Linked DNA regions of Anolis sagrei. The protein of the gene in region 3 interacts with the protein of the main gene of each other region in a biochemical or structural test. Links are inferred from orthologs where the notes say so. Each region holds a gene or a part of one and is shown on either strand. Other genes may lie near its edges.

Evidence for each region.
Region 1: the proteins of BCL2L1 (region 3) and HRK interact in a biophysical measurement, tested with the Homo sapiens proteins (3 studies listed by BioGRID and IntAct, with this or other methods). The link is inferred for Anolis sagrei from reciprocal best matches to the Homo sapiens genes BCL2L1 and HRK.
Region 2: the proteins of BCL2L1 (region 3) and VDAC1 form a complex in vitro, tested with the Homo sapiens proteins (4 studies listed by BioGRID). The link is inferred for Anolis sagrei from reciprocal best matches to the Homo sapiens genes BCL2L1 and VDAC1.
Region 4: the proteins of BCL2L1 (region 3) and SIVA1 form a complex in vitro, tested with the Homo sapiens proteins (2 studies listed by BioGRID and IntAct). The link is inferred for Anolis sagrei from reciprocal best matches to the Homo sapiens genes BCL2L1 and SIVA1.

The regions. Positions count from the first base shown.
Region 1 is NC_090034.1:42,693,779-42,701,167, reverse strand, and holds the start of HRK (activator of apoptosis harakiri), read left to right. Parts: upstream 1-4,634; 5' UTR 4,635-4,779; coding exon 4,780-5,052; 3' UTR 5,053-5,069; intron 5,070-7,389. UniProt on the Homo sapiens protein: Promotes apoptosis.
Region 2 is NC_090022.1:92,316,200-92,324,253, reverse strand, and holds the start of VDAC1 (non-selective voltage-gated ion channel VDAC1), read right to left. Parts: upstream 3,482-8,054; 5' UTR 3,406-3,481; coding exon 3,244-3,405; intron 1-3,243. UniProt on the Homo sapiens protein: Non-selective voltage-gated ion channel that mediates the transport of anions and cations through the mitochondrion outer membrane and plasma membrane.
Region 3 is NC_090024.1:242,223,016-242,231,443, reverse strand, and holds the start of BCL2L1 (bcl-2-like protein 1), read left to right. Parts: upstream 1-5,254; 5' UTR 5,255-5,474; intron 5,475-8,428. UniProt on the Homo sapiens protein: Potent inhibitor of cell death. Inhibits activation of caspases. Appears to regulate cell death by blocking the voltage-dependent anion channel (VDAC) by binding to it and preventing the release of the caspase activator, CYC1, from the mitochondrial membrane.
Region 4 is NC_090021.1:328,505,728-328,513,787, reverse strand, and holds the start of SIVA1 (apoptosis regulatory protein Siva), read left to right. Parts: upstream 1-4,927; 5' UTR 4,928-5,118; coding exon 5,119-5,236; intron 5,237-6,733; coding exon 6,734-6,937; intron 6,938-7,228; coding exon 7,229-7,385; intron 7,386-8,060. UniProt on the Homo sapiens protein: Induces CD27-mediated apoptosis. Inhibits BCL2L1 isoform Bcl-x(L) anti-apoptotic activity. Inhibits activation of NF-kappa-B and promotes T-cell receptor-mediated apoptosis.

The DNA.
Region 1 (7,389 bases), on a different chromosome or scaffold from region 3:
CTGGCCATTCCCACTTGCCTCCAACAGACAAGAGTTCTTTCTCCCAACCTGGACATTCCACAGGTATATATATAAAACTCACTTACCTAGTTTCCAACAAACCTCACAACCTCTGAGGATGCCTGCCATATATGTGGGTGAAAAAGTCAGGAGATAATGCTTCTGGAACATGGCCAGACAGCCCAGAAAACTCACAGCAACCCAGAGATTCTGGCCATGAAAGCCTTTGATGATTATAAGATGCACACTAATGTCAGTGCCACCAAGACAAAGAGAGGCATCAACTGGTGAGGAGGGGGCATCCCAGAGTGGGGGGGGGGGGGAGCCACAGTGGCACAATGGGTTAAATTCTTGTGCTGCTGGACTGCTGACCAAAAGATGGTCAATTCTCTCACACCAGAAGTGACTTGCAGTTTTACATGTTGGACTGTTTTACATATTGATAGCATCGTATGGTGCTTGTGTGAGGCCGCCCTGAGTCCCTCTTTGGGGGGAGAAGGGCAGGGTAGAAATACATTAAATAAATAAATAAATAAATTTATCAAGTCGCTTCTGACACGATAAAAAAGTCCAGAAGTGGGAGGAAGCATCAAAATAAGCCAAAAAGCAACAACAGGGGAACTAAAGATGAAAACGGGGGAATGCTCAGAGAGCACCGAGAGGGAGGCAAGGGAACTGGAGAAGAAGATGGTTGTATTGAAGTTAAGCATTTAGGTTCAGCTACAACAGAGTAGTATGATTAGTATCTATCTATCTATCTATCTATCTAATCTGTATATTCATCCAGTTACCTATATACCTATCTGTCCATCATGCCTGCATATTTATCTACCTATCTCCCAACTGACGTGCCTACTCTATCTCTATCTATCTGATTTATCTATCTATCCATCCTATCTGCCTATGCTTCTGCCTATCTGACTATCTATGTATTCATTTTATCTGCTTATTTATCTCTAGTCTATCCATCCATCCATCCATTGTAATTATCTCTAATCTGTCTATTTAGCTATCTGTCCTATCTACCTAACTATCTGCCTATTTATCTCTAATCTGCCTATCTATCTATCCATCCATCCACTCTATTTGTCTATTTATTTATCTATCCTATCTGCCTATTTATCTGTAATCTGCCTGTCTATTTATCTATCTATCCATCCTGCCTATTGACCTCTAATCTATTTTCTATCTATCTAATCTATCTATCCATTCTATCTGCCTAGGAGCCTCCGGTGGCACAATGGATTAAACCTTTGTGTCGGCAAGATGGAAGACCTACAGGTCGGAGGTTCAATTCTGGGGAGAGCGCGGATGAGCTCTCTCTGTCAGCTCCAGCTCATCATCCTCCCACAAGGATAGTAAAACATCAAAACATCCAGGCGTCCCCTGGACAATGTCCTTGCAGATGGCCAATTCTCTCACACTAGAAGCAACTTGCAGTCTCTCAAATCGCTCCTCACACACACACACACACAAATCTGCCTATTTATCTATCTACCTATCTCCCGACGACCGACCTACCCCGACACAAAACAAATCTCTATCTCCCTATTTATCTGTCTATCTATCTATCTATCTATCTATCTAATCTGTGTCTATCCATCCAATTACCTATCTACCTATCCATTTTATCTACCTATTTATCTCCCTATTTATCTGCCTATCTACCTAATCCGTCTATCCGCTCAGTTACCTATCTGTCTATCCATCCTATCTGCCTGTTTATCTGTCAATTTATCTGTCTATCCATCCATCCATCCTATCTGCCTATTTATCTCCCTGTTTATATGCCTATCTCTTTATCTGCCTATTTACCTATCTGCCTATCTATCTACCTAATCTGTCTATTCACCCAGGTACCTATGTCTATCCATCCTATATGTCTGTTTATCTGTTTATCTGTCTATCTATCTATCTATCTATCTATCTATCTATCTATCCTATCTATCCTATCTGCCCATCTATCTCCCTATTTATCTGCCTATCTCTTTATTTATCTGCCTATCTATCTATCTATCTATCTATCTACCTATCTACCTAATCAGTCTATCCATCCAATCTGCCTATTTATTTGTCAATGTATATATTCATCCATTCTATCTGCCTATTTATCTCCCTATTTATCTGCCTATCTATCTACCTACCTAATCTGTCCATCCTATCTGCCTGTTTATCTGTTGATTTATATATCCATTAATCCATCCATCCATCCATCTATCCTTTCTGTCTATTTATCTGCCTACTTGTCTGCCTATCTATCTATCTATCTATCTATCTATCTATCTATCTATCTATCTATCTGCCAATCTATCTATCTAACTATCTATCTGCCTATCTAACTACCTAATTGGTCTATCCACCTATCTACCCATACATCCTATCTGTCTGTTTATCTGTTGATTTATCTGCCTATTTATCTGCATATCTACTTATCTATCTACCTACTCTGTCTATCCATCCAGTTACCTATCTATCTATTAATCCTATCTGCCTGTTTATCTGTTGATTTATCTATCTATCCATCTATCTCCCTTTTTATCTGCCTATCTCTTTATTTATCTGCCTAATTGGTTTATCCATTCAGTTACCTATCTACCTATCCATTCTATCTGCCTGTTTATTTGCTGATTTATCTATCCATCCATCCATCCTATCCGCCTGTCTCCCTGAGGAGCCCCCGGTGGCACAATGGGTTAAACCCTTGTGCCGGCAGGACGACAGGTCGGAGGTTCAAATCCAGGGAGAGTGTGGATGAGCTCCCTCTGTCAGATCCAGCTCCCCATGCGGGGACATAAGAGAAGCCTCTCACAAGGATGATAAAACATCAAACATCCGGGTGTCACCTGGGCAACGTTCTTGTAGGCGGCCAATTCTCGCACACCAGAAGCAACTTGAAATTTCTCAAGTTCTCCCTATTTATCTGTCTATCTATCTATCTATCTATCTATCTATCTAATCTGCCTATCCATCTAGTAACCTATCTTTCTATCCATCCTATCTGCCTGTTTATCTGTTGATTTACTTAGTCATCCATCTATCTGCCTATTTATCTGCCTATCTATCTGTCTATCTATCTGCCCATCCACCTATCTACCTATCTGGGCATCCCCTGGGCAACATCCTTGCAGACAGCCAATTCTCTCACATCAGAAGCAACCTGCAGTTTCTCAAGTCACCCCGACACAAAACAAAACTCTATCTCCCTATTTATCTGTTTATCTATCTATCTAATCTGGCTATCCATCTAGTTACCTATCTTTCTATCCATCCTATCTGCCTGTTTATCTGTTGATTTATTTAGCCATCCATCTATCTGCCTATTTGTCTGCCTATCTATCTATCTATCTATCTATCTATCTATCTGTCCATCCAATTACCTATCTACCTATCCGGGCATCCCCTGGGCAACATCCTTGCAGACAGCCAATTCTCTCACATCAGAAGCAACTTGCAGTTTCTCAAGTCACTCCTGACACAAAACAAAACTCTATCTCCCTATTTATCTGTCTATCTGTCTGTCTGTCTAATATGTCTATCCATCTAGTTACCTATCTGTCTATCCATCCTGTCTGCCTGTTTATCTGTTGATTTATGTAGTCATCAATCTATCTCCCTATTTAACTGCCTTTCTCTTTATTTATCTGCCTATCTATCTATCTATCTATCTATCTCTCTATCTATCTGACCATCCAGTTACCTACCTATCTGGACATCCCCTGGGCAACGTCCTTGCAGGCGGCCAATTCGCTCACACCAGAAGCGACTTGCAGCTTCTCAAGTTGCTCCTGACACAAAACAAAACTCTATCTCCCTATTTATCTGTCTATCTATCTATCGATCGATCAATCTATCTATCTATCTAATCTGCCTATCCATCTAGTTACCTATCTTTCTATCCATCCTATCTGCCTGTTTATCTGTTGATTTATTTAGTCATCCATCTAGCTGCCTATTTATCTGCCTATCTCTTTATCTATCTATCTATCTATCTACCTATCCAACGTCCTTGCATATGGTCAACTCTCACACCAGAAGCAACTTGCAGTTTCTCAAGTCGCTCCTGACACAAAACAAAACTCTATCTCCCTATTTATCTGTCTGTCTGTCTGTCTATCTATCTATCTATCTATCTAATCTGCCTATCCATCTAGTTACCTATCTTTCTATCCATCCTATCTGCCTGTTTATCTGTTGATTTACTTAGTCATCCATCTATCTGCCTATTTATCTGCCTATCTATCTGTCTATCTATCTGCCCATCCAATTACCTACCTATCCGGGCGTCCCCTGGGCAACGTCCTTGCAGGCAGCCAATTCTCTCACACCAGAAGCAACTTGCAGCTTCTCAAGTTGCTCCTGACACGAAACAAAAAAACAAAACAAAAATCGAGCTCCCTATTTATCTGTCTATCTAGCTGTCTATCTGATCTGCCTATCCGCCTAGTTCCCTACCTGTCTATCCCTCCTACCTGCTTGTTTATCTGCCGATTGATCTCTCCATCCCCTCTGGTTCCCTATCTCTCTGCCTGCCTGTTTCTCTCGCTCCGGATCTCTCTCTGGGGCTCCGAAGGGGTTAAGCCCCCCCCCCTTCTCTCTCTCTGGAGCTCCTCCTCCTTGTGGCGGGGGGCGGCGCCTAACCTGGCTGGCTGAGCATAGGTTCAGGAGCGCGTCCTGCTCAGCGCTACTCGGCCCGCGGCAGCGGAAAGAGGCGCAGGTACGGTGGCGGTGCTCGTCTTCCTCCTCGTGCCCGCGCTCCTGCTCCTCGCCGTGCTCTTCCTGATGCGCGCCTCGCCCGACTGCCCGGCCATGTGCCCGTGCGCGGTGCCCAGCCCTGCTGCTGGCCCTCCGAGGGCGCCCAGCATGAGGGAGCGCTCGCTGACGGTGACGGCGGCGCGGCTGAAGGCCATCGGGGATGAGCTGCATGCGCGCGTCGAGGGCCAGCATGCGGAGGCGGAGACGGGGTGGCGGCGGCGGGCCTCGGGCACCGGCCTGGCCATCCCGGTCCTCCTGCTCGTGGCCTGGGCCTGGCTCAGCCGCCGCCGGAGCATGTAGCGCCCTTGAGGCCGCAGGTGAGCCGGGACCACGCACCCACGCACCCCGGGCGGGAAGGCGGGCTCTCTGTCGGGAGGGCTTCGCTGGGGCCCTCCGGTTCTCGCTCCTGGCCTCTCTCCCAACTCCAGGGAAGTCGAGAACGCATCGAAAGGGGATAGATAGATACATAAAGAGAGCCCTCTCGGGAGGTTCCCAAGCAAAGGCAGCGTGGCCATCTGTCGGGAATGATTTGACTGTGCCTTCCCAATTTAAAGCTGGGTTGGACTGGGCGGCTCTTGGGAGTCTCTTCCAACTCGAGTGAAATTCAGAACTAGAAAGGGGATAGATACATTCCCAAGCAGTGGCAGCATGGCAATCTGTTGGGAATGATTTGATTGTTCCTTCCCAGTTGAAAGCTGGGTTGGACTGGGCGGCTCTTGGGAGTCTCTTCCAACTCGAGTGAAATTCAGAACTAGAAAGGGGATAGATACATAGAAAGAGCCCTCTCAGGGCATTCCCAAGCAGAGGCAGTGCGGCCATCTGTCGGGAATGATTTCATTGTACCTTCCCAATTTAAGCGGGTTTGGACTGGATGGCTCTTGGGGGTCTCTTCCAACTCCAGTGAAATACAGAACGCCTAGAAAGGGAATAGAAACATATATAGAGCCTTTTCGGGAAGTTCCCAAGAAAAGGCAGAGTGGCCATCTGTCGGAAATGATTTGACTGTGTCTTCCCAAATTAAAGTGAGGTTGGACAGAATGGCTCTAGGGGGTCTCTTCCAACTCGAGTGAAATTCAGAACTAGAAAGGGGATAGATACATAGTGGCATTCCCAAGCAGTGGCAGTGTGGCCATCTGTCGGGAATGATTTGATTGTGCCTTCCCCAATTAAAGAGGGGTTGGACTGGATAGTCCTTGGAGGTCTGTTCCAACTCAACTGAAACTCAACATGTAGAAAGGGGATGGCTCAGGCAGGGGCCAACTTTAGCTCTCCCTCCAGGTACTTTGGACTTCAGCTCCCACACTCCCTAACACCCTCAGGCCCTTAGCCAGTTAAGCAGCTGAGGGGGGAAAGGAAGGGGCCTGAAGCTGTTAGGGATTGTGGGAGTTGAAGTCCAAAACACCTGGAGGGAAGGCCTAAGTTAGCCTCTGTCTGGGATTGATAGAGCCCTCTGTGGAGATTTCCAGACAGAGGATGCATGGCCCTCTGTCAGGAATGTTTTGCTGGTGCCCCGCTGCATGACTGACTGGATGGTATTTAGGGGTCCTGTCAGAAGCGTGTATTGCCCCATGCAGACCTGACAGTGCAACACAGATCTGCCCCTGGCTCTGCTTCTAGTCCAAGTCAAACATCATCAGTGGAAAGGCATCTTAGAGTTGGAAAGGACCCCCAAATGCCATCCAGTCCAACCCCATTCTCCCAGGGGAAAGCACAACCTAAACCTTCCCGACATATGGCCTCGGTTTCCAAAGCTGCCAGGGAAGGAGGCTCTTCTGTGGCAGTGGATTCCACTCCTTGAAAGGGACCTCTCAAGAGCCACCCAGTCCAACCCCATTCTGCCACATAGGAGTACCCAAGCAAAGCATTCCTGATGGATGCCCATCCAGCCTCTACTTTAAAACCTCCAAGGAAGGGGACTCCTCCAAAACATGGACCCCCAGGCAGTCCATGTTTTATTAGTTAGAAGAGCCATGCAGTCCAACCCCATTCTGCCAGGCAGGAATACACAATCCAAGCACGCCCGACAGATGGCCATCCAGACCGCTTCAAAACCTCCAGAGAAGGAGACTCCTCTGGATCCCCAGGCAGTCCAGTTCCGTCCCTTTTTACATTAGAGTTAGAAGGGCCATGCAGTCCAACCGCTTTGTGCCAGGCAGGGATGCACAATCGAAGCACTCCTGACAGATGCCCATCCAGCTCGTTTCAAAACCTCCAGAGAAGGAGACTCCTCTGGACCTCTAGGCAGTCCGTTTTCCATTAGAGTTAGAAGAGCCATGCAGTCCAACCCCTTTGTGCCAGGCAAGGATGCACAATCCAAGCACTCCCGGCAGATGCCCATCCAGCCCCCGTTTCAAAAAGCCCAGAGGAGATTTATCAATCTCCTTCTGGAGTTGCTTTGCCCAGGACTGGACACAGGGTTCTTATTCCAGGTGAGGTCTGACTAACTCAGAAAGAGAGTGGCGGGACAATGACACTTGACTCCTTCTGATGCAGCCCTAAAATTGGGCTGCAGGAGTTAACGGAGGGGAGCTACTGCCATCTACTACTGTAAGGCTGTTTTGAGTCCAGGTGCGAAGGAAAGGGTTGCAGGGGAAAACAAACTCAGGTCCCAGACACTCTTCCCCAAATGCTGGCCTC
Region 2 (8,054 bases), on a different chromosome or scaffold from region 3:
GGGGCTTCAGCCCCCCCCCCCCAAATTCTCATGGTGATCCATGAGAAGGCCTTACTGGTGCATTATTTAAGCTGTTATGTTTATTCATATCATGATCTGATCACCATATTCAGTATATCCCATATGCATGGGGGGATTGTGGTAACGATACAAAAGGTTTGCTAGGGTAGACCCTCTTTCACGCAGACTCAGCCCCCCCCCCCCCCCCGAATCAAAATCCTGGCTACGGGCCTGGTGGTGGGGCAAGCAGTCAGTTTCTATCCTCAAAGGCAATATTGAAAGCTTATTATACGAGCATGAGAATTTTTTTGTGTTTGTCAGGAGCAACTTGAGAAACTGCAAGCCACTTCTGATGTGAGAGAATTGGCCATGTGCAAGGACTTTGCCTAGGGCCATGATGATGAACCTATGACACGCGTGTCAGCACTGACACGCATGGCTATTTTTGATGACACACGGCCACATGCGGCCGCATACAGAGAAGTACACCTTATAAGAGCCAATCTAATTCCATCCTTAAATTTGTAAAAGGCTCTACAAATTTAGCATCTGCACATTTGAGTATTGTTCACTGCATAACTCAGCATGGAATATACATTTTTCTTATTTAAACTATAAATATTGCAATATTATTGGGGGGGGGGGTTCCCTCGAAGTTGACACCCCACCCAAGTTATGCTCAGGTTTTTAGCAAATTTTGACACACCAAGCTCAAAAGGTTGCCCATCACAGGCCTAGGGTATGCCTGGATATTTTAACATCCTGTGATAGGCCTGTCCCTGCATGAGAAGCTGGAACTGAGAGATGCTCCCCGGATTCAAACCACCGACCTTTCGGTCAGCAGTCCTGTTGGCACAAGGCTTTAACCCATTGTACCACCAGAGATGAAAAGGGGATACGGGAGAGAACAGGGGAATCAGAACTACCAGGAATAGGGTTTTATTCTTGAAATATTCACTCCCATAACACTTCCTGTCATGACATGACAAATAACATGTTGCAACATCACCATCGACTTTTAAATTATATTAAGCAACTCTTTAAGAGTACCCCTCTGTCATTACTTCTAAGAATCTTAGTTGGCTCACTGAATAATGAATCAAACCGAGATTGCTATGCTGTCCTAAGCACAACAACTGGGAGGTTAATCCCAACAAATCTACATCTGCACAACATGGCTGAATGAGAGAATTTTGCTGCAATAGAATTCTGGAAGAAGCCCAGGACTAAAAAGAGAGAACAGAGAATGACACCTCAACTTGAAGGCTAGAAAAAGAAATGTATGAACATCCAAAAAATGTTAAAACTCTGTCAGCTGCAGTAAATCTACTGTTTATGAATGACAGTAGCTTTCAGCCCAGGGCAACAAATAAATCCAACCCTAATTGCTTGCTTCACACAAATCAACTGTAAAGCAGGTCACATTGGAAGAGTCCTAAAGGCAGTGCCAAATAATCTGAGGTATCATCAAATCATTTTGTGTAACATTGATAAAAAGGTCTTTCACATTACATCCAGTCAAATTTGAAGGTACTTAGTTTTCTCTTAACCATGCCTAATGAATACTGAAGAAGCTTTCTCCATTTTGTTTTAATATCATATTTAATGTTTGCAACTATGACCCAGTTACATGGTTTGCATGTTGGACTACAGATGCATCTACATTGTTGAATTATAGTAGTTTGACACCACCTTAACAGCTATATCTCAATGCCAAGGGATCATGGGATTTGTAATTTGGTGAAGCATCAGTACTCTTTGGCAGAAAAGGATGAAGACCTTGTAAAGCTACAACTCTCACAATTCCATAGCACAGAATCATAGGCGTCAAACTACATTAATTCTACAAAGCAGATGCAGCCCATGACTCTGGAGACCAAGACTGAAGCCCCTGATCAGTCATGGAAATCCATTGGATGACTTTGGGCAAGTCACACACTCTCAACCTCAGAAGAAGGCAAAGCTGACTCCCTTCTGTACAAATCTTCCGAAGAAACCCTGGTGATAGGTTGAAAGTGTTTTGAAGGCAATGGAGGATGAAGACCTTGTAAAGCTACAACCCTCACAATTCCATAGCACTGAACCATAGCAGGTGTCAAACTAGATTAATTCAATAATGTAGATGTACCCCATGACTCTGGAGATCAGGATTGAAGCCCCTGCTCAGTCATGGAAACCCACTGGATGACTTTGGCCACACATTCTCAGAGGAGAGTGAAGTTCAAACCCTTCTGTATAAATCTTCCCAAGACAACCTGGTGATAAAATTGGAAGTGTCTTGAGGGTACACATTGTTCCCAAGGGAAGCACTTTTTAAAAATCCAGCAAATCGACTGAGTTTTAACTCTTTAACTCTCTTCCACGGAAATTAATTTTTTAAAAACCACTAAAAGTGCTTTTTGAACTTTACTAGAGAGTCCGGTCTCATGTTTGCCTCCTGATAGCTCCGAAGGCCTGCAGCCCTCTCTCTCTCTTACTAGTCCACTGGAAGCCAGTGCGGGAGGCATCTGGGAGAGAAAGCCTCGGAGCTTCCTCTTCTCTGCAGGAAGCATCCCTGAGGAGAGGAGGAAGCGGCAGACCTCCTTCCCGCAGCTCCAAGGGCATGAAGGGCGTTTAGAGGGCGGCCCGGGGGGGGGGGGCAGAGGGAGAATGAGAGGAAGAGGCGACGGAGGCCGAAAGGGGACCCGGAAACGTGGGAAGCAACGCGATCCGGGCGAGGCGAGCCTTCAAAGAAGAGCCGTGGGCCTTCTCTCCGACTCGTGCGAGGCGTGCTTTGCCTCCCGGAAGGTCACGCAGCGCTGCCTTTGGCGGAGGCGCCGGACGGAAAGGAGCCCTGTCCAAATCCCACTCTCTTCTCGAGGGAGAGCAGATGGCGCGGCTTAAAATAGCCGCCCAATGGCCCGCCAGGCCCCGATCCTGGGAGGGAAGGCCGAGGCGCCGCCCGGGGAAGGATGCCGAGGAGGAGGAGGAGGAGGAGGCAGGGAGGATTGGGTGGACAGCGCTTCCAGAAAGAGGCGCCCGCGGGTGGGGTTGGCGCTCAGGCCAAGGCGGCCTCCTTGGGAAGAAAGGGAAGGCCTGGCAAGGGGGAGAGCACAGCGCCAAAGGTCAGGGCTTGGAGGGCAAGGCGATGGCTCCTCGCCCAGGCCTCAGCGCCTGGCTCCAAGCCTCCTCCACCCCTCTCTCCCTCCCTTTTGCTTCTCTACTGGATCTCCTCTACCGCGACGCAGCGTGGGCTCAGCTTACCGCTCCGCCGGGCTCCTTTCCGTGGCTGCAGCAGGGCTTCTGCGGAGTGACAGCTGGCGAGGAGGCGGCGGAGAGGGGCGAAGGGGAGGGGGAAGGGGCCGAGGGGGAGGAGGAGGAGGAGAGGCGGAACGAGGTGGGCCTGTCCTGCGCCGAGGCCAGCATCGCGGAACCCTCCCCGCGCGGCTGCGAGACGTGACTGCGGCGCCCGCTCCCGCCTGCCTGCCTGCCTCGCCGCCTCGCCCGGCTGGCTCCTGCCGAGGGGGCGGGGCTTCGGAAGCGGCTCGGCCAATCCCAGGGCCTGCCTCCCGTTGAGCGTTTCACGCGCCCCAAGAAGAGCCAGGGGGCTGGCACTGGAGGCTGCGGCAGGCGGGCAGGCGAGGCAGCGCGAGACCGTGCGCCTGCGTGGTGCTGCGAGCGAACCACGGGTCCACAGCTCGGCTTCTTGGGGCGATGCATCCTCCCTGAATGCCCAGGGTTCTGGGAGTTGGAGTACAAAAGGATGGTGGAAGAACTCTTTTAGGCCTCGGCTACACTGGCTGACTAATACAGTTTCAAACCAGTCTTGCTGTGCAAATAGTTGCATCAGGAAGAGCGAGTCTACACAGGCATCCTTCCAAGGCGTAGTATCCACTAGGCATACATTCCCCCCGTGCACTGCACTACACCTCTATCCAGGCACAGCTGTTGTTGTATATTTCTGAGCAGGCCTTTGCAAATTATTATTATTTATTATTATTTATTATGATTGTGATTATGATTATTATTATTTAGAGCTTTTATAACCCGGTCTTCTCGACCTCCGAGGAGGGACTCAGGCCGGCTAACAACAGAGAATCAATATGCAAATAAACTAAAGCATAATAACATCATAGTACATTGATACATCAAAACACATTAAAATACAGATCAAGAATTACATAAAGCTGATTCGTCAAGGTAAATCACAAATTCATCCCATCCGCCTTGTAGTCAACAGTTATTGATTCCATCATCAATCTGAGAATGCTAAGTTCCAAAGCCAAGATTTTACCATCTTTCTGAAAGTCAGGAGGCAGCATAATTATTGTATCCATCTGCAGCTACTGTAGAATGAATGCAGTTGGATACAATTTTAACTGCAACGGCTCAAGGCTATAGAATTATGGGAGTGATAGTTTGGTGAGGGAGCAGAAAAGGCTAATGAACCTGGTAAAACTAGAACTCCCAGGATTCCACAGCATTTAGCCATGACAGTTAAAATAGAATCATAGAATCATAGAATCAAAGAGTTGGAAGAGACCTCATGGGCCATCCAGTCCAACCCCCTGCCAAGAAGCAGGAATATTGCATTCAAATCACCCCTGACAAATGGCCATCCAGCCTCTGCTTAAAAGCTTCCAAAGAAGGAGCCTCCACCACACTCCGGGGCAGAGAGTTCCACTGCTGAACGGCTCTCACAGTCAGGAAGTTCTTCCTCATGTTCAGATGGAATCTCCTCTCTTGTAGTTTGAAGCCATTGTTCCGCATCCTAGTCTCCAGGGAAGCAGAAAACAAGCTTGCTCCCTCCTCCCTGTGGCTTCCTCTCACATATTTATACATGGCTATCATATCTCCTCTCAGCCTTCTCTTCTTCAGGCTAAACATGCCCAGTTCCCTAAGCCGCTCCTCATAGGGCTTGTTCTCCAGACCCTTGATCATTTTAGTCACCCTCCTCTGGACACATTCCAGCTTGTCAATATCTCTCTTAAATTGTGGTGCCCAGAATTGGACACAATATTCCAGATGTGGTCTAACCAAAGCAGAATAGAGGGGTAGCATTACTTCCTTAGATCTAGACACTATGCTCCTATTGATGCAAGCCAAAATCCTATTGGCTTTTTTTGCCGCCACATCACATTGTTGGCTCATGTTTAACTTGTTGTCCACGAGGACTCCAAGATCTTTTTCACACGTACTGCTCTCGAGCCAGGCATTGTCCCCCATTCTGTATGTTTGCATTTCATTTTTTCTGCCAAAGTGGAGTATCTTGCATTTGTCACTGTTGAACTTCATTTTGTTAGTTTTGACCCATCTCTCTAATCTGTCAAGATTGTTTTGAATTCTGCTCCTGTCCTCTGGAGTATTGGCTATCCCTCCCAATTTGGTGTCGTCTGCAAACTTGATGATCATGCCTTCTAGCCCTTCATCTAAGTCATTAATAAAGATGTTGAACAGGACCGGGCCCAGGACGGAACCCTGCGGCACTCCACTTGTCACTTCTTTCCAAGATGAAGAGGAAGCATTAGTGAGCACTCTCTGTGTTCGTCCACTTAACCAATTACAGATCCACCTCACCGTAGTTTTGCCTAGCCCACATTGGACTAGTTTCCTTGCCAGAAGGTCATGGGGGACCTTGTCGAAGGCCTTACTGAAATCCAGGTACGCTACATCCACGGCATTCCCCGCATCTACCCAGATTGTAGCTCTATCGAAGAAAGAGATCAGATTAGTCTGGCATGACTTGTTTTTGATAAATCCATGTTGACTATTAGCAATGACTGCATTTGTTTCTAAGTGTTTGCAGACCACTTCCTTAACAATCTTTTCCAGAAGCTTGCCCGGTATCGACGTGAGGCTGACCGGACGGTAGTTGTTTGGGTCATCCTTTTTTCCCTTCTTGAAGATTGGGACCACATTGGCCCTCCTCCAATCTGCTGGAACTTCTCCCGTTCTCCAAGAACTCTCAAAGATGGTTGCCAATGGTTCCAAAATGACTTCCGCTAGTTCCTTCAATACTCTGGGGTGTAGTTGATCTGGCCCTGGGGACTTGAACTCATTAAGAGCGGCCAGGTATTCCTGGACGACTTCTTTCCCAATTTGGGGTTGGATGTCCTCCAATCCCTCATCCACTCCATCTTGCTGAGGTTGAAGACTCTCTTTTTGTGAGAAGACCGAGGCAAAGAAGGCATTAAGTAGTTCTGCCTTTTCCCTATCCCCTGTCAGCATTGCCCCATCTTCTCCTCGAAGAGGTCCTATCGCCTCCTTGTTTTTCCTTTTTCTACTGACATAAGAATAGAAGCCCTTTTTATTGTTTTTAATGTCCCTGGCAAGTCTGAGCTCGTTTTTTGCTTTAGCCTTGCGGACCTTTTCCCTACAGGTGTTGGCTATTTGTTTGAATTCTTCTTTGGTGATTTCTCCCTTTTCCCACTTCTTGTGCATGTCTCTTTTGTGTCTTAGCACAGTTAGAAGTTCTTTGGACATCCATTCTGGCTTCTTTGCACTTGTCCTATTTTTTCTCTTTGTTGGCACGGTTTGCAATTGCGCCTTGAGTATTTCACTCTTGAGAAATTCCCATCCATCCGTAACTCCCTTGTTTTTTAGTATCTGTGTCCACGGAATGCTGCTCAGCGTTTCCTTCATTTTTTGGAAATCAGCTCTCCTGAAGTCCAAAATGCGGGTTTGTCTTGTCTTAGTTTCGGCCTTCCTTTGTACCTCAAATTGCAGGAGCACATGGTCACTTGCCCCTAAGGATCCTACCACTTCGACCGCATTGATCAGGTTCTCCGCATTTGTTAGGATGAGATCAAGAGTAGCCAATCCCCTTGTTGCCTCTTCTACCTTCTGGACCATGAAATTTTCTGCAAGGCAAGCGAGGAATTTGTTGGACCTTGTACTCTTGGCCAAGTTTGTTTTCCAGCAAATATCGGGATAGTTGAAATCGCCCATGACTACTACATCTCTTCTCTGTGCCTGTTTGGTCAACTGTTGGCAGAAGACTTCATCAAGTTCTTCCTCCTGGCTTGGGGGTCTGTAGTAGACGCCTACAACGACATCTTTTTGAGTCCCAGTTCCCTTGATTCTTATCCAGATGATTTCAAGCTGGTTTCCCAGATTGCTGTCTTGAATCTCTTCTGCAGCATAAGAGTTTTTGACATATAAGGCTACTCCGCCTCCTCTCCCCTTTGTTCGGTTTCTGTGAAAGAGGTTATACCCCTCGATATCTACATTCCAGCGATAGGAGTCATCCCACCAGGTTTCAGTGATCCCTATGATATCATATTTGTGGTGTTGTCCTAAAGGTTGGAGTTCGTCTTGTTTATTTCCCATGCTCTGTGCATTAGTGTAAAGACATGTGAGCCCCTGAGATCTTCCCTTGAGCTGTTTAATTGGGATTATTGTGCTTTTGGTACTTGGTCCTTGTTGTGTTTGTGCAGCCCTCCGTTTAGCCTTCTGGTGATTCCCAGACATTATGGGTAAAGTAGTGTTCGCAAGGCTGTTGTCCCCCTCCCCCGGTGGACCTAGTTTAAAGTGCGTCTAATGAGGTTTGCGAGTCTGTGAGCAAAAAGGTGTTTTCCTACTTGTGTGAGATGCACCCCATCCCTTGCCAGTAGGCCATCCTCCTGGAAAAGCAGGCCATGGTCGAGGAAGCCAAAGCGTTCCTCCTGACACCATTTTCTAAGCCAGTCATTGACCTGTACTATTTTTCTGGCTCTTGTGGGTCCGTGTCTTACAACAGGGAGGAGGGATGAAAAGACCACCTGTACATTACATTCTTTTAGCTTTGCTCCTAGTCAAACTACATTCATTTTACAATGTAGATTCACCCACTGAGGTTCCCATGTCCTGGTGAACCAAGCCCAAGGCATTGTAGCAAAGAGCTTCACAGTAGTGAACAGGGGACACTTTTAATACATGCAATTTGGACATATTCCAGTCTGCTTAATGCACTAGACTAGCAGGAGAAGATATGTATGTTTTAACTATGCAGTGGTTAATGAAAATTCATTATGAATTTAATTTACTGGAGGCTGAAAGTCACCTATTGGTAAGCCATGGAGCAGCAAAGCAAGGCA
Region 3 (8,428 bases):
CCGGATCCAGATAATCCGTGTCTACCAAGAATGCCTGGAGTTGTGAGGCCACCACATGTTCCATGACTTTGCCCAAAAAGGGGAGATTGGAAACAGGCCGATAGTTGACGAATTGAGTGGGGTCCAGTGATGGTTTTATCACAGCTTGCTTTAAGCTGGCTGGAATTTTGCCCTCCCGGAGGGAGGCATTAACCACCACCTTCACCCACTCAGCCAATCCCCCTCTGGCCTCCTTCAGAAGCCAGGATGGGCAGGGGTCTAGGATGCATGTGGTAGCTCTCATTCCTCCAAGCACCTTGTCCACATCCTCGGATTGAACCAATTGAAATGAATCCATCAAAACATATAGATAGATATATTTATAGATACTTAAATTTGTTATACAATATATATTATACATTATATAATATAAAAATATAATATAAAATGCAGTTTTATTATCATTTATTTTTTGTGTGTCTATAGAGAAATATATAAATTTCTCTCTATAGATACACATCTCTCTATATACACATATAGATAGATATATTTATAGATACTTAAATTTGTTATACAATATATATTATACATTATACATTATATAATATAAAAATATAATATAAAGTGCAGATTAATTATTATTTATTTTTTGTGTGTGTATAATATATACATCTCTCTCTATAGATACATAAAAAGATATATTCAATCCAAGCCAAATGAGATATAATACAAAAAGGCCGCATTTCTTACCTCCAACCGAAGCCAGCTCCTCTGGAGTTCCTTCCTCCTCCTCTCTCCAACGTTAAATAATTTCAAATTTCTGCCTCAGTTCCAAACTGGCCAATCACGGTGCGCCCGCCCTGATTACATGCACCTGATTGGTCAGAACGAGGGAGCCAAGTGGGCGGGGAAAAGTATTCAAATGAGGACACCGCCTCTTTCTGTTTGCAGCTAAAACAAAACGCAAAGGCTGTTGGGTAATGTAGTCCTGAGGCCGAGGAAGAGCCAGAGACAAGCCTTCGCGGTGCTTTAAGAGGAAACGACAAATCCCAGAAAGCATAGCGCGGAGGGAGCCAATAAGCAACGTGCTGCGTGGCCAATCCTGAAAGAGAAAGGGAGAGGCGAGGGGAAACAGTGAAGTAGAGTGCGGCTGGTTCCAAGAGGAGTGGGCGTTTTGTTTACACCACAGCTTTCCTGGATTCCTATCGACTCCTTTAGATGTATTGCTGGATTGAATGAATGAACACTCAAGGCTGGTGTTTAATATATTTCAAATGTACACTCAAGGCTTGTGTTTATAATAGTTAAATGGCTGCTTGTGGAGTGCCCTTTGGGGAGATAAAGCAGGGTGTAAATAAACAATAATATAGGAATATAATATATATATATATATATATATAGGAAGTGCCCTTTGGGGAGATAATGCAGGGGATGAATATATAATCATCATCATAAACATAATAATATAGGAAGTGCCAATTGAGGAGATAAAGCAGAGTATAAAATAATATAATAGTAATAATATAAAAATAAATAATAATAATAATAATATAGAAAGTGCCCACTGGGGAGATAAAGCAGAGTATAAATGAGTATAATAGTAATAATATAATGGAAGTACCTTTTGGGGAAAGAAATCAGGGTATAAATAAATATAATAATATGATGATAATAATAATAATATAGGAAGTGCCCTTTGGGGAGATAATGAAGAGTATAAATGAATATACTACTAATAATAATAATATAATGGAAGTGCCTTTTGGGGAGAGAAATCAGGTTATAAATAAATATAATAATATGATAATTATTATTATTATTATTATTATTATAATATAGGAAGTGCCCTTTGGGGAGATAAAGCAGAGTATAAATGAATATACTAATAATAATATAATGGAAGTGCCTTTTGGGGAGAGAAATCAGAGTATAAATAAATATTATAATATGATAATAATAATGACAATTATAATAATATAGGAAGTGCCCTTTGGAGAGATAAAACAGAACATAAATGAATATAATAGTAATAATATAATGGAAGTGCCTTTTGGGGAAAGAAATCAGGGTATAAATAAATATAATATGATAATAATAATAACATTTATAATAATATATAGGAAGTGCCCTTTGGGGAGATAATGCAGATTATAAATGAATATACTACTAACAATAATATAATGGAAGTGCCTTTTGGGGAGAGAAATCAAGGTATACATAAATATAATAATAATAATATGATGATAATAATAATAATAATAACAATTATAATAATATAGGAAGTGCCCTTTGGAGAGATAAAACAGAACATAAATGAATATAATAGTAATAATATAATGGAAGTGCCTTTTGGGGAAAGAAATCAGGGTATAAATAAATATAATATGATAATAATAATAACATTTATAATAATATATAGGAAGTGCCCTTTGGGGAGATAATGCAGATTATAAATGAATATACTACTAACAATAATATAATGGAAGTGCCTTTTGGGGAGAGAAATCAAGGTATACATAAATATAATAATAATAATATGATGATAATAATAATAATAATAACAATTATAATAATATAGGAAGTGCCCTTTGGAGAGATAAAACAGAACATAAATGAATATAATAGTAATAATATAATGGAAGTGCCTTTTGGGGAGAGAAATCAGGGTATAAATAAATATGATAATAATAATAACATTTATAATAATATATAGGAAGTGCCCTTTGGAGAGATAAAACAGAACATAAATGAATATAATAGTAATAATATAATGGAAGTGCCTTTTGGGGAGAGAAATCAGGGTATAAATAAATATAATAATATGATAATAATAATATAGGAAGTGCTCTTTGGGGAGATAAAGCAGAGTATAAATGAATATACTAATAATAATATAATGGAAGTGCCTTTTGGGGAGAGAAATTAGGGTATAAATAAATATAATAATTATAATATAATAATTATAATAATATAGGAAGTGCCCTTTGGGAGATAATGCAGAGTGTAAATGAATATACTACTACTAATAATATAATGGAAGTACCTTTTCGGGGGAGAAATCAGGGTATAAATAAATATAATAATATGATAATAATAATATAGGAAGTGCCCTTTAGGGAGATAATGAAGAGTATAAATGAATATACTACTACTAATATAATGGAAGTGCCTTTTTCGGGCATAATAATAATATAGGAAGTGCCCTTTGGCGAGATAAAGCAGAGTATAAATGAATAATAATAATATAATGGAAGTTCCCTTTGGGGAGAGAAAGCAGGTTATGAATATATATAATTATCATATAATAATTATAATACAATAATAATATTAAGACCCCTTTGGGGAGATAAAGCATGAATAAATATTATAGTAGTAGTAGTAGTAGTAATATAGGAAATGCCCTTTGGGGAGAGAAAGCAGGGTATAAATAAAATAATAATATAGGAATTGCCCTTTGGGGAGAGAAAGCAGAATATAAATAAATATATTTAATAAGGGGGACTCAGAGCAGCTTACAAGATATATATACATACAATATATTATATTACTAGTTGTTCCCTGCCACGCATTGCTGTGGCCCAGTCTGGTGATCTGGAATATAAAGTAATGAGAAAGTGTTGGTTTTCTAATATATGTAATGTCTTTCTGCTTGTGGGTAAACAGTACTTCTTGCTCTTTCTTTGTCAGTGTTGATGTGGAGAGTGTCTGGTTTGCCTACTCTGGAACATGCAACATATCATAGTCCTTCTTTAGGGGTCCTTTTCAAATCTAGGATACTATATCTGTGTGTGTGTGAATCATATCTATCTATCTATCTTATCTATATCTATGGCTGGATGGCTCTTTGTCAGGAGGGCTCTGATTACATTTTATTATAATACTAGCTGTCCCATGCCACGCGTTGCTGTAGCCCACATGGGGGTTCGGTGTGGGAGGTTTGGCCCAATTCTATCGTTGATGGGGGTCAGAATGCTCTGTGATTGTATTGGCATATTGAGTATTCATGTAGAGTTTGGTCCAGACCCAACATTGTTTGAGTCCACAGTGATCTCTGGATGTAGGTGAACTACAACTCCAAAACCAAAGGACACTGCCCAGGAAACCCTTCCAGTATTTTATGTTGGTCATGGGAGAACTGTGTGCCAAGTTTGGTTCAATTCCATCGTTAGTGGAGTTCAGGATGTTCTCTGATTGTAGGTGAACTATAAATCCCAGCAACTACAACTCCCAAATGAAAAAATAATTTTTTTTAGAGAGAAGGACATACATTGGGTGTCAATTCGTCCACTGGTTTTTGAGTTCTGTTAATCCCACAAACGAACATAACATTTTTATTTATATAGATTTATTTATTTGCCACTTTTATACCCCATCCTTCTTAACCCCGAGGGGGACTCAGGGTAGCCTTACACATTGGCAACAATTCAATGCCATAAAAACAATATACAATGAAATAAATATTTACATTAAAAATGAAAGAATTAAAACATCTAAACAATTACATCGATTATTAAAATCACACATTTCACTGGCACTTTTGCTTTCAGGCAGTTCAATGTACAAGAGGTTTATGTCATGCACAGGATTATGAAAATATATTGCATTTGCAATTATTTTCAGACCGTGTGTATAAGATGTACAGGAATAAATGCATTTACTATATCCAATTTACTTTATGTATCCCATACATACAAATACATATTACATACATGCAAGTATAATTATTCAAAAAACCTGGATCAATGTGTATGTATGTTTATATATATATATATATATATATATATATACACATACACAACTGTATATATGTATATATAATATATACATATATTATAATCCCCATTATATATATAAAATGGGGATTATAATTTATGTATATATTATATATACATATATAGTTTCACATATATTTATAGATACCTAAATATATGTATGAATACAATATATTTTGTACAATTCTGACTTTTTGCTTGTGTCATAATGGAAATCATATCTATTCCTACAATGTTCCATTATTATCTATCATATTATCATTTCAATATATAGAGATCTATAAAATTCCCAATGGTTGGAGCTCCGGCCACAAGGGGGCGCGCGCGCCTTTTCCTAGCTTAGACTCAAGGAGACGAACTGCGCAAGCGCAGAGTCTGAAGGCTTCCTCTAAGGTGGGGATTCCATATTTTCCGCATGCGCACTACAGCTCTTCTCACACACGCCCAACTCGCCCCCCCGCCTTCGAGCCGCGCATGCGCAACATGGGCTCGAGCGCGAGCACAGCTTCGCGCATGCGCATTCCACCTTCGCCCGGCCGGTGAAGGAGCAAGGCAGCAGGGACGCCGAAACGGCCGCTTAACGGGCATAAACGGAGACGGAAGCCCTGCCGGAGCCGTCGAAGCCTTCTGGGGTTCCCTCTTGCGAGCATTTTTCCTCAGCCGCCTCTTCGCAAAGAAAGCCGGTTGCCGGTGAAGAGAAGACGAGCGAGGGGCGGGGCTGAGGTAAGATTGACAGGAGGGGCGGCCAATGAGTAGACGGCCACTCTGGGCCCGCCTTCCCTTCTACGGGATTGGCTGGGAGCAGGGCTGGGGGCGGAGCTAGGCTTTGTCCTGCCGGAGTTTGAGAAATGAATGGGAAGAGAAAGGGGAGGGAGGCGCGTGACGTCACTGGGCTCACATTCAGGAGATCCAGCTTCCTGCCAAGTTTGCAGAAGTTCCTTTTTAAAGGGAAATGAAGAGAAAGGGGCCAGGAAGACAGTTCCCTCTTGTCTCCTGTGTTATGCTAATTATATATAAAAGAGTATTTTCTGTTGGTCATGGAAGAACTGTGTGCCAAGTTTGGTTCAATTCCATCATTGGTGGGGTTCAGAATGCTCTTTGATTGTAGGTGAAGTATAAATCCCAGCAACTACAACTCCCAAATAACAAAATCAATCTTTTTGAGTGAAGGGCATACATTGGGTTGTTAGGTGTCTTGTGTCCAAATTTGATGTCAATTTGTCCAGTGGTTTTTGAGGTCTCTTAATCCCACAAATGAACATTATTTATTTAGAAGTTTTCTATACCGGCCTTCTCACCTCAACGAGGGACTCAGGTCGGTTTACAGCATATATGCAAGTACAATAATATATAAGTACAACAAAGTGCAACGTCGTTACGTATTAAAATAGTACAATAAAATACAATAAAAACATCATCATCACAATTACCTAAGCCAAGTCGTCAATCCAGTCATAATCATAGTCACAGTTCATCACTTCGTGAACTAGCTAAAGGATAAAGTGGTTTAGTAATGGCATAGGAAATATCATGAAAACCGAGTAAATTAACAGGATCAGTTAATATTATATAGGACATCAGATTGAATGATAAGTCATGATACAGGTCATTTGTCATAAAAGTCATCAGTCGAAAGCACGACAAAACATCCACATCTTTAATTCCTTACAGAATGTGGCTAGGGAGGGTGCCAGCCTAATATCCCTGGGTAGGAAGTTCCAGAGATGGAGGGCCACCACCGAGAAGGCCCTCTCTCTCATCCCCATCAGCCATGGCTGAGACGGGGGTGGGAGCGAGAGAAGGGGATCCCCGGAAGATCTTAAGGACCACATGGGCTCGTAAGGGAGGAGGTGGTCAAGCAGATAGGCAGGTCCTGAACCATTTAGAGCTTTATAGGTGATAACCTGCACCTTGTATTTTATTTAGAAGTTTTATATACCGGTATTCTCACCTCGAACGAGGGACTCAGGCCGGTTCACAACATGTGTTCAAATACAATAATATACAAAAACAACACAGTGCATCATCATTACAGATTAAAAAGTACAATAAAAACATCATCATCACATTACCCAAGCCAAGTCGTCAATACAGTCACAGTTCATCATCCTCCTTCCTTGTGGATGGAGGTTATAGCTTCAGTCCTCGAACGCCACATTCCAGAACCAGGTCTTTAGTAGTTTCCTGAAAGTCAGGAGGGAGGGAGCAGATCTACTCTCAAGTGGGAGGGAGTTCCAAAGCCGGGGAGCCACCACTGAGAAGGCCCTGTCCCTCGTCCCCACCAACCATGATTGCGAGGGTGGTGGGACCGAGAGCAGGGTCCCCCGAAAGATCTTAATAGCCTTGATGGTTCCTAGGGGAGAATCCGTTCAGACAGGTAAACTGGGCCGGAGTCGTTTAGTCATTTTTATTTATATAGATTAGGACACGGCTGTACTTTGGTGAGAAACCAACACTCTTTGGCAGAGAAGGCTATGAATACCTATATTTATTTATTTATTTATTTACTTTATTTGTATACCGCCGTTTCTCAGCCTAGCCGGCGACTCAACGCGGTTTACAACAGGATAAAAACAGTCAACAATCTACAATTCAGAACAAAAGAGCACAATACACAATATTACACAACAGCAACAACCAAATGTGTCTCATAACTAGAGCCGTGATCCAAAATTCATCGTCCATATTTCAATTCCTGTGATCGTCACATTCATTGCACTGATTAATCATAAAACTATAATTCCCAGGATTCCATAGCATTGAGCCATGGCAAGTAAAGTTATATGGAACTGCATTAATTCAAAATATAATAATAATAATAATAATAATAATAATAATTTTATTTCTCACGTGTATCTTAGTAAGCAGTTTGCTTGCAGAAATTGCCAGCATTCACCTTTTCTTGATTTTCCTTGAGATCAAAGCTTTGAACAAGAAACTATTGGGGGAGGGAAAATAATTTCCAACATAGGAGAGAAATGGAATGGATGCAGCAGCATTCCAGCCCTTAGATCCTGTTAAATGTTTGAAACCAGGAAGCCACAGCCAGCTTGCTCAATTGCCAGGGGTTCTGGGAGCTGAAATCCAAAACATCTGGAGGACAAAATGTTGGAAATCTAAGGAATGATAGCAGTGTGACACTACTTTAATTGCTGTAGCTCAGTGCTATAGACATCTAGGATTTGTAGTTTGTTTTGGTACCAGACAGAAAAAGCTAAATATCCCAGAAAAATACAAATCCCCAGAATTCTATAGTCTTGTGCAATGGCCGTTCAAGTTGCGTCAAACTGCTGTAATTCTTTCTTTAAACTAATTTCTATTCAGAAATAAATAAAACATAGTAAAAGAGCAGAAATAATAAAAATAAGCAGATTTTTACAATATTTATTGCTAAACTAACAACTTATTATTTATGTATTTATTTATTGCATTTCTGTACTTCTTTTCTCACCCCTGAGGGAACTCAAAGTGGTTTACAACATAATGGCAAAATTCCATGGTTCACATATATGTAAAATATGTCACATATCTAAACATAGCATATAACTGTGGATTAAAACCATTAAACTATAAGCAGCTATCTAATTAGCCACTGCAACATACTACAAAACTAAATGAAGCAAACGCATTAACATAGCACATGCCTACATTGACATGCACATATGAACATTACCATC
Region 4 (8,060 bases), on a different chromosome or scaffold from region 3:
CATATGGATGAAGGCAGGGGTCTTAATTTTAAGCAAGGCTGGGTTTTTTTGTACAGACAACCAATATCTCAGATGTTTTAAAATCATAATTAGAAGAGATCACAGGTGCCATCCAGTCCAACCCCTTGCTGTGCAGAAATATGCATTCAAAGCACTCCCGAAAGCATTTTGCTTTCAAAAGTATGTATTCAAATGTGACACCCTTCTGCTCTTCTTCCCTTATGCTTCATTGAGGACTAAAAAGCACTGTAAGTTAAGCAGAAGCAATCTCCAGCCATCCTTTTCCTTGACCAATACTTCAGTGTTGCCAACAGTAATACGGATTAGTGGCTCAGCTACGCTGTACAACTAGAGTAGCCTCTAGGCCAGACTTGCACTATTTGAAATGCATTCAAAGCACCACAAAATTCTATAAGAGCTCTCAGGAAGGCAGCAAAGAGGCTTTTAGGACAATCCTGTTGAGATCAGTCTTTCATTACACTGGAGATTTTTAATGTTTTATAGATCACTTCTTACCACTATCACTGCCAATGTATTTGCTTTTCTGGTGAGTTCCAGTCCTGCCAGAAAATTCTTGGGAATCCCTGTCTTTGGCCCTCTGTGCCTCAGCACATTAGCACTTGAGTAAAATTCACCAATGTGGCCTTTATCCTGATATGCTAAGAATGCATCCAGGACATTAAGTAGTTGATGTGATCTCTAGATGCTCTGACTTCCTTTCTGTGCTTTGTAAACAAATGTAGCTTTATTTGAAATGTCATCTTTGTCTTGTGAAAGGTGGGGATGATTTGTCGTGTTGTTACGCAGATACATATCACCCCTGCCTCATGGCTATTTTATTCAAAGCCCTTTTTACTACTACTACTACTACTCAAGGTAAACTGCATACATTCTGTTCAGAGCAATGGCTGTTGAGCATCTTAACCAGCAGCATTGCAATCTACTGGGAAATGTTCCTATTTATAGTGCCAGTAAAATGAATAGAGTGATTATTCAGAATACTTCCCACTCATTTCATTACAGCAAATGAAGGATTTCTGTTGGATCATCAGGACTTTTAGCTGGCACTAAATCACAGTTGAATGTTTCTGTAACCTATTATTAGATGATATTTATAGAATATTTTTATTGAATTGTTGGCTTTATTCTTACAGAAATCTCTATTCTCTCAAAGTAAAAGCACTGAGATTCAAAATTAGGGAATTATATTGCAATCCATTCAGTGATGCAGACTTCAATAAGATATGTGTTTGATGTGAACACTGCATGTTGCTCTCTGGAATGTTTCTTGCTAAATAATGCATTGAATCTTCAGTTGGAATTTGGTTATAACCATTTAGCATTACTTTGCTCTGTACACAGGTTAAAGGCAATATTGATAATCTGAAATTCAAATGATTGAGTGGAATTAATGTGGGGAAACAGCATGGCCAGAAACTGAAAAAGTAATCATGCAAGGATTTCAGTAGAAAAGTCATGTTTTGTGTATTAACATTTACGATGCTCTCACACGAATACAGCTGGCAGTACACTGGTCACTAAATGCACCAAAATAGTGTTCTTGATTATTTTTGTATACTGTAAATGAAGCTGTATCCTCGTATTGTACACCAGTTTTCTTTGCTTAATAAAGCCTTACATGACAGGGAGTATAGAATTTGGTCTCTTGAGTCCTTTGTGTATATATACGTACATATATACGTACATATACGTACATAGGAAATCGATCCATACTCATGCCTGGACTGCTTTTCAGAATTTCTGCCAAAGTCAATTTCTTTTTGAAAGACAGTACTGTGTACAACACATATTATGTGAACATGTAACACGTGAATCAGGAGAAGCTAAACACAGTAAAACAAAAAAGGGAATAAATAATATTACAAGAATCTCTAAATGCTAATACCCACTGCTTAACTCATAGCTTTGTTGAGAACAGGTTGAAAACTGCTTCCAAAAACTGCAGAAACTATTGATGGCAAATGTGTCAATGGATCAGCAGTCCTGACAGCACATCAGAAACATGGATGTGGACAAAATGGTTTGTTGCTGTTGTAAATGTTTAGCCCACAAATGGAAAGAAAGCAACCCACAAAGCAGCAGGTGTTGCTAAGACTGGGATGCAATTAAGGAGGAGGTGTTGTTAATCAGCACCTTCAAGACTTTCATCAGAAAGAACTCTGCAGTGGCAGCAGTTGCAGAAGATTCATAACAGAAGGTCTTGCTGACAGTGTTTGCCTGCCTTGATTTTTAAAGCAGTGACAAAAGTGACATATGTTGCTCGATTTCAAGCATATTTCTGAACAATACTTTTTTTGGCAGTCTTATATTTGGCAGGAAACACCATAATTGCCTTTGTGTCTTGTCATTTCACTAATATATCTCAAATATTTGTCAGAACGCTGGACACATCAAGAGCTTACATAAATCCATTCTGGGGGTGGGTGGGAATTAAAATAGAAAGTACATGTCAATATGTATGACTACAAATTTTCTAAACTGCAATCCTATTGTGGCCGATAGGATAGAGAATACCAAGAGTGATCCTTTGTGGAGGCAGAGAAGTAGTTTTATTTTCAGCTGAGCGCCTGGTGTGGAATTTCCCCCCCAAAAGCAAACCAAAGTGAAGATAAAGGTGTTGACTTTCCCTTTTTTACATCTTCAAATACAGGCAAACAAAGAAACATGCTCCTACGTACGTTAACATAATCACTATGTCACTTTAGCATCATAGAAATATCTTTCTACAGCAGCTTACAATAAGTTAGAGATACTAGGATTCGGCTACAGATCAATCAAGGGGCCTATTTTTTACCTGACAGGAGAGATGGAGAGAGTATGGCCCGTACCACCTCTAACTTGAGCCTTGTACACAAATCTCCTTCAGCATCCTTTTGTCCTGTCGGCTTTCCAATACAGAGAATCTGATTTTTCTACATTTCAGTACTTCTAATGTGCATACAATATATTTGTCAATGCCTATATATTGCAATATCTCCACATCACTACGTATTTCTTCCATAGTTAGGTCCTAATGAGTTTGGAGAATATATTTGGAGCATAGATGCTGCTAGTAGTGCTGGAATGTTCAATGTTTCTGTTCAGTTATGTTAGGCGAAATGCACTGGCAACTCAAATCTCTAAAGCAGGCAAGGGCAAACTTTGGCCCTCCAGGTGTTTTGGACTGCAACTCCCACAATTCCTAACAGCCGGTAGGCTGTTAGGAATTGTGGGAGTTGCAGCCCAAAACACCCGGAGGGCCAAAGTTTGCCCTTGCCTGCTCTAAAGTATCATCAAACACATCTACACTGTCAAATTAAAGCAGTTTGATCCCACTTTAACTGCCATGGCTTAATACTATAGAATCCTGGGAGCTGTAGCTTTAGGTCTTTTGCCTTCTCTGCCAAAGAGTGCTGAGGCCTCACCAAACTACAACTCCCATGATTACTTAGCATTGAGCCATGGTGGTTAAAGTGGATTCAATTCACATTATTTCTATATTTATTTATTTACGACATTTATATGCCGCCCTTCTCACCCTGAAGGGGACTCAGAGTGGCTTACTATACACACACACACACACATATACTAGCTGTCCCCTGGAAAATAAAGGAACGAGAAAGTGTTGGTTTCTAATATATGTAATTTCTTTATGCTTGTGAGTAAACAGTATTTCTTGCTGTTTCTTTGTCAGTGTTGATGTGGAGAGTGTCTGGTTTGCCCACCCTGGAACATGCAACATATCATTGTCCTTCTTTAAGAGTTCCTTTCAAATCTATGATACTGTATCTGTCTGTGTGATTCATCTCTCTCTCTGGCTGGATGGTTCTTTGTCAGGAGGGCTTTGATTACATTTTCTTGCCCTGATGAAGGGAGTTGGATAGGGTGGCCTTAAGCATTTTCTGTTGGCCGTGTGTGGGAAGTTTGCCCCAATTCTGTCGTTCGTGGGGTTCAGAATGCTCATTGATTGTAGGTGAACTGTGAATTCCAGTGACTACAACTCCCAAATGTCAAGTTCTATTTCCCCCAAACTCCACCAGTATTCATATTTGGGCATATTGAGTGCTTGTGCCAAGTTTGGTCCAGATCCATCATTGTTTGAGTCTACAGTGCTCTCTGGATGTAGGTGAACTATAACTCCCAAACTCAAGGTCAATGCCCACCAAACCCTTCCAATATTTTCTGTTGGTCATGGGAGTTTTTTGTGCCAAGTTTAGTTCAATTCCATCATTGGTGGAGTTCAGAATGCTCTTTTGATTGTAGGTGAACTATAAATCCTAGCAACAACAACTCCCAAATGACAAAATCATATTTTTTTTTGAGTGATGGTCACTCCTTGTGTTGTGAGACGTTTTGTTGCCATATTTGGTGTGATTTCGTTCATTGGTTCTTTTGTTTTTAAGGTACTCATTATGCACAGAGCATTTATATATATATAGATATTATTAGCATAGTACAATATCAGTATTATATATTACTATATTGCATTTTGCCATTACATTGTAATATTATTATATTATTATTAGTATTATATTGTATTACATTATAATATTATAAACATTATATGTATAGACAATATATTATCTATAGTGTAGATGCAGCCCAAGACTTCTAAAAGACTTCTGGTTTGGGCTCATGAAGACTTCTGGAGAATTAAAAAACTTGCATTTTTTGTAAATGTATAGACTTAAAAGTGTTACCAAAATCGAGGATATCCTGCTGAGCAAAACATTCCTAACTAATGAAGTGCCTGTCACTTTAAGAACGAGTCCTCCAATCAGCTTCGCCTCTAGGCGTTGTCCCCGCCCCTTTCGCGAAAAAAACATCCCTGAGGCGCTTCCTCCCAGGCTGTCACTTTAACAAATCAGTCATCCAATCAGCTTCGCCGCTAGGTATTGTCCCCGCCCACATTCCAGGGCCTACATTCCGACCCGCCTTTTTTTCCCTCTTACTTAATCCCTTACGCGATTGGTTGACATCTCAGTGACGTCATGCCAAGCGGGTTAGAAAGCGGGCGTTGAGTTTGGTTGCTCGGGAGGTTTTCCCGCGCAGGAGAGAACGAAAGTCCACATCCGGGTACCTTTGGAGTGAGTGAGTGAGTGAGGGAGGGGCGAAGGAATGCCGAAGCGCTCCTGCCCGTTCGGGGACTCGGCCCCGGCGCAGCTGAAGACCCGCGTGAGGCTGAAGGAGCTGAGCCAAGGCGTCCTGGGCGAGCAGTACCAGCGAGCCATCTTCGGTAAGGGCAGCAGAGCTTCTTAGCGGCTTCACGAGGGCGGCACTGTTGCGCATGCGCTTCTTGGAGGCTTCACGATGTTGCGCATGAGCAAAGGGAGTGGTTTTTTTTCCCCCCTCTCAGCGAAACTTTGGTCAAGCCTTGTTTTTCCCAGTCTCGCGAGACTTGAGCCTTTTCTCTCTGATACTTTGTCAGATAGGGTTTTTCCAAATGGGCTTATCAGTGGTTCTCAACCTGTGGGTCCACAGGTGTTTTTGCCTACAACTCCCAGAAATCCCAGTCAGTTTCTCAGCTGTTAGCATTTCTGGGAGTTGAAGGCCAAAACCTGGGGACCACAGGTTGAGAACCACTGGCTTAGTTAGTTAGAAGGGGAAGACCCAATTTAGTTGCCATGGCAACATCCTGATTAGGCCTCTGAGGATGCTAAAGGCCTTTCCAGGCTGCACAGGTGTTTGGGACTTCAACTCATTGGCCATTGGTGGCTTTGAGAAAAAACTGGATTTGTTTAGTTATGTTATTTTATTTATATCCCGCTTTATCTCTCTGTACAGAGACTCAACGCAGCTCACAATTAAAAAAACATTACAACTTAAAATATTCAAATATACAATAATAAAACAGTGTATCATTATATATTATCAGGAGTAATCATATTTAATATGTTAATATTATTATATTAAAGGTAAAGGTTTTTGACTCTGGGGATTGGTGCTCCTCTCCACCCAGCCTCTGCCAACCTAGCAGTTCAAAATGTGACTAGATCAATATGTACTGCTCCAGCAGGAAGGTAACGGCGCTCCATGCTGGCCACATGACCTTGGAGGTGTCTACGGACAACGCTGGCTCTTCAGCATAGAAATTGAGATGAGCACCAACTCTCAGAGTCGGACATGACGAGTAAATGTCAGGGGATAACCTTTACCTTTACCTTATATACATATTGATAATCATATTTTTAGTCCTCCATGTGTTTTGGACTTCAACTTCAGCTCCCTCCCCATCATGATATTTTAATATTTAAACATGGTTCTCATGTCACCTCTTAATCTTTGCTTCTTCAAGCTGAATATGCCCAGCCCTTTAAGACACTCCTCACAGGGCTTGGCTTCCAGACTACTGACAATTTGGGTCGGCCTTCTCCAGCTGGTCAATATATCTTTCTTGAACTGTGGTGCTCAGAAATTGACACAGTACTCCAAGTAGAATGCTGAAACTTTCTTACTGGCTACACAGGATTGTTATGACTTCATGCAGGCTTGCTACCAAGAAAATGCTAAATTCATTGTTGTTACTCTATGGCAGGCATGAGCAAACTTGGGCCCTCCAGGTGTTTGGACTTCAACTCTCAGAATTCCTAACAGCCAGTAGGCTGTTAGGAATTCTGGGAGTTGAAATCCAAAACACCTGGAGGGCCCAAGTTTGCCCATGCCTGCCATGGATGTTAATTCAGACCACCATCCATGACATTCTCACCTCTACTTTTCGTCCCTTGTTTTGCAGAAAAAACAAAACAGCTTCTCTTCCGAGGTGCCCAAACGTATATGGAGAATCCGTGCATTGGGAGCACAGCAGGAGAATGTCTAAAAGCAGAGTTACCAGAACCACTTGCAGACAGGCCGGACGCATGTTCGCAGCATAAATGCAACGGACAAATGTTAATTGGACACGATGGGAAACTTCGGCAGCCTAGTGCAAGAGAAGCAGGTGACTTGAGTTACGCCAGCTGTTCAGTTTCCTGAAAGGGAATTCCAGCTTTTGCACTGTCCTCGGAAACCTATCTACATAGATAAAGGGTAGTCATGCATGTGAACGTCCCTTCCTGATTTCTGGCCAGTATTTATCACCAAACCATTTTGATTCACATGGTCTGATGGACAGCTTCTTTTATAGATAACTTGAGTACTGCAATTTGCTTTCTAAATGAAGTACTTTTCTAAAGCAACCCTTCTTGCTGAAATCTGTTCTGATGTTGAATCTCTCTGTGTTTGTGCACAGCTCTGCCTATAGGAGGGTCTAAGGCCTGCTCCTCGTGTGTGAGAACAGTGGACACCAACAGAGCTTGTGCCCAGTGCCATCGGTACATATGTCAGCATTGCAGCAAAGTTTGCAGCTCTTGTAATGCTGTTGCTTGCTTCTTATGTTCAGTCGTAGAGTAAGTGTTTACAACTTGAGCTTCCTTTAGTTTTATTGAACATCGGAAAATATTTCGCAGTTGCTATTTGCGACATTTTCATTTGCAATTCTTGTATGGTAAGAACTTGCTGTATATACTCAAGTATAAGCCTAGTTTTTCAGTCCCTTTTTTAGGCTGAAAAAGCTCCCCTCGGCTTATACTCGAGTCAAGGTTATTTATTATTTTAGTCATTAGTATTTTTATTACATGTATTATTTTACTCTATTATTCTATTTCTTATTTTGCTGTATTATTATTATTATTATTATTATTACTATTACATTTGCAGTATTTTACCCTATTATTATTATTATTATTACATTTACAATATTTTACCCTATTATTATTTTATTACATTTATTATTTTACTCTATTATTACTGTTTTTATTGCGTTTTCATTATTTTACTCTATTATTTTTATTACATTTATTATTTTAATAATGAGTTCATTTACATTGAAGAAGGTGAGAATAATGGTTTGATCAGAGTTGGACAGTTTTATCTTAAATTACAGTTTTATGTAAATATTCAAAAATATTTAGCCTATTGATGTAATTTTGTTTAATGTAATTAATGTAATTTTATTGGTTATCTCTCTTTATTTTGAAATTGACCCATAACGGCTGCATTTCTCACCTTCGGCTTATACTCGA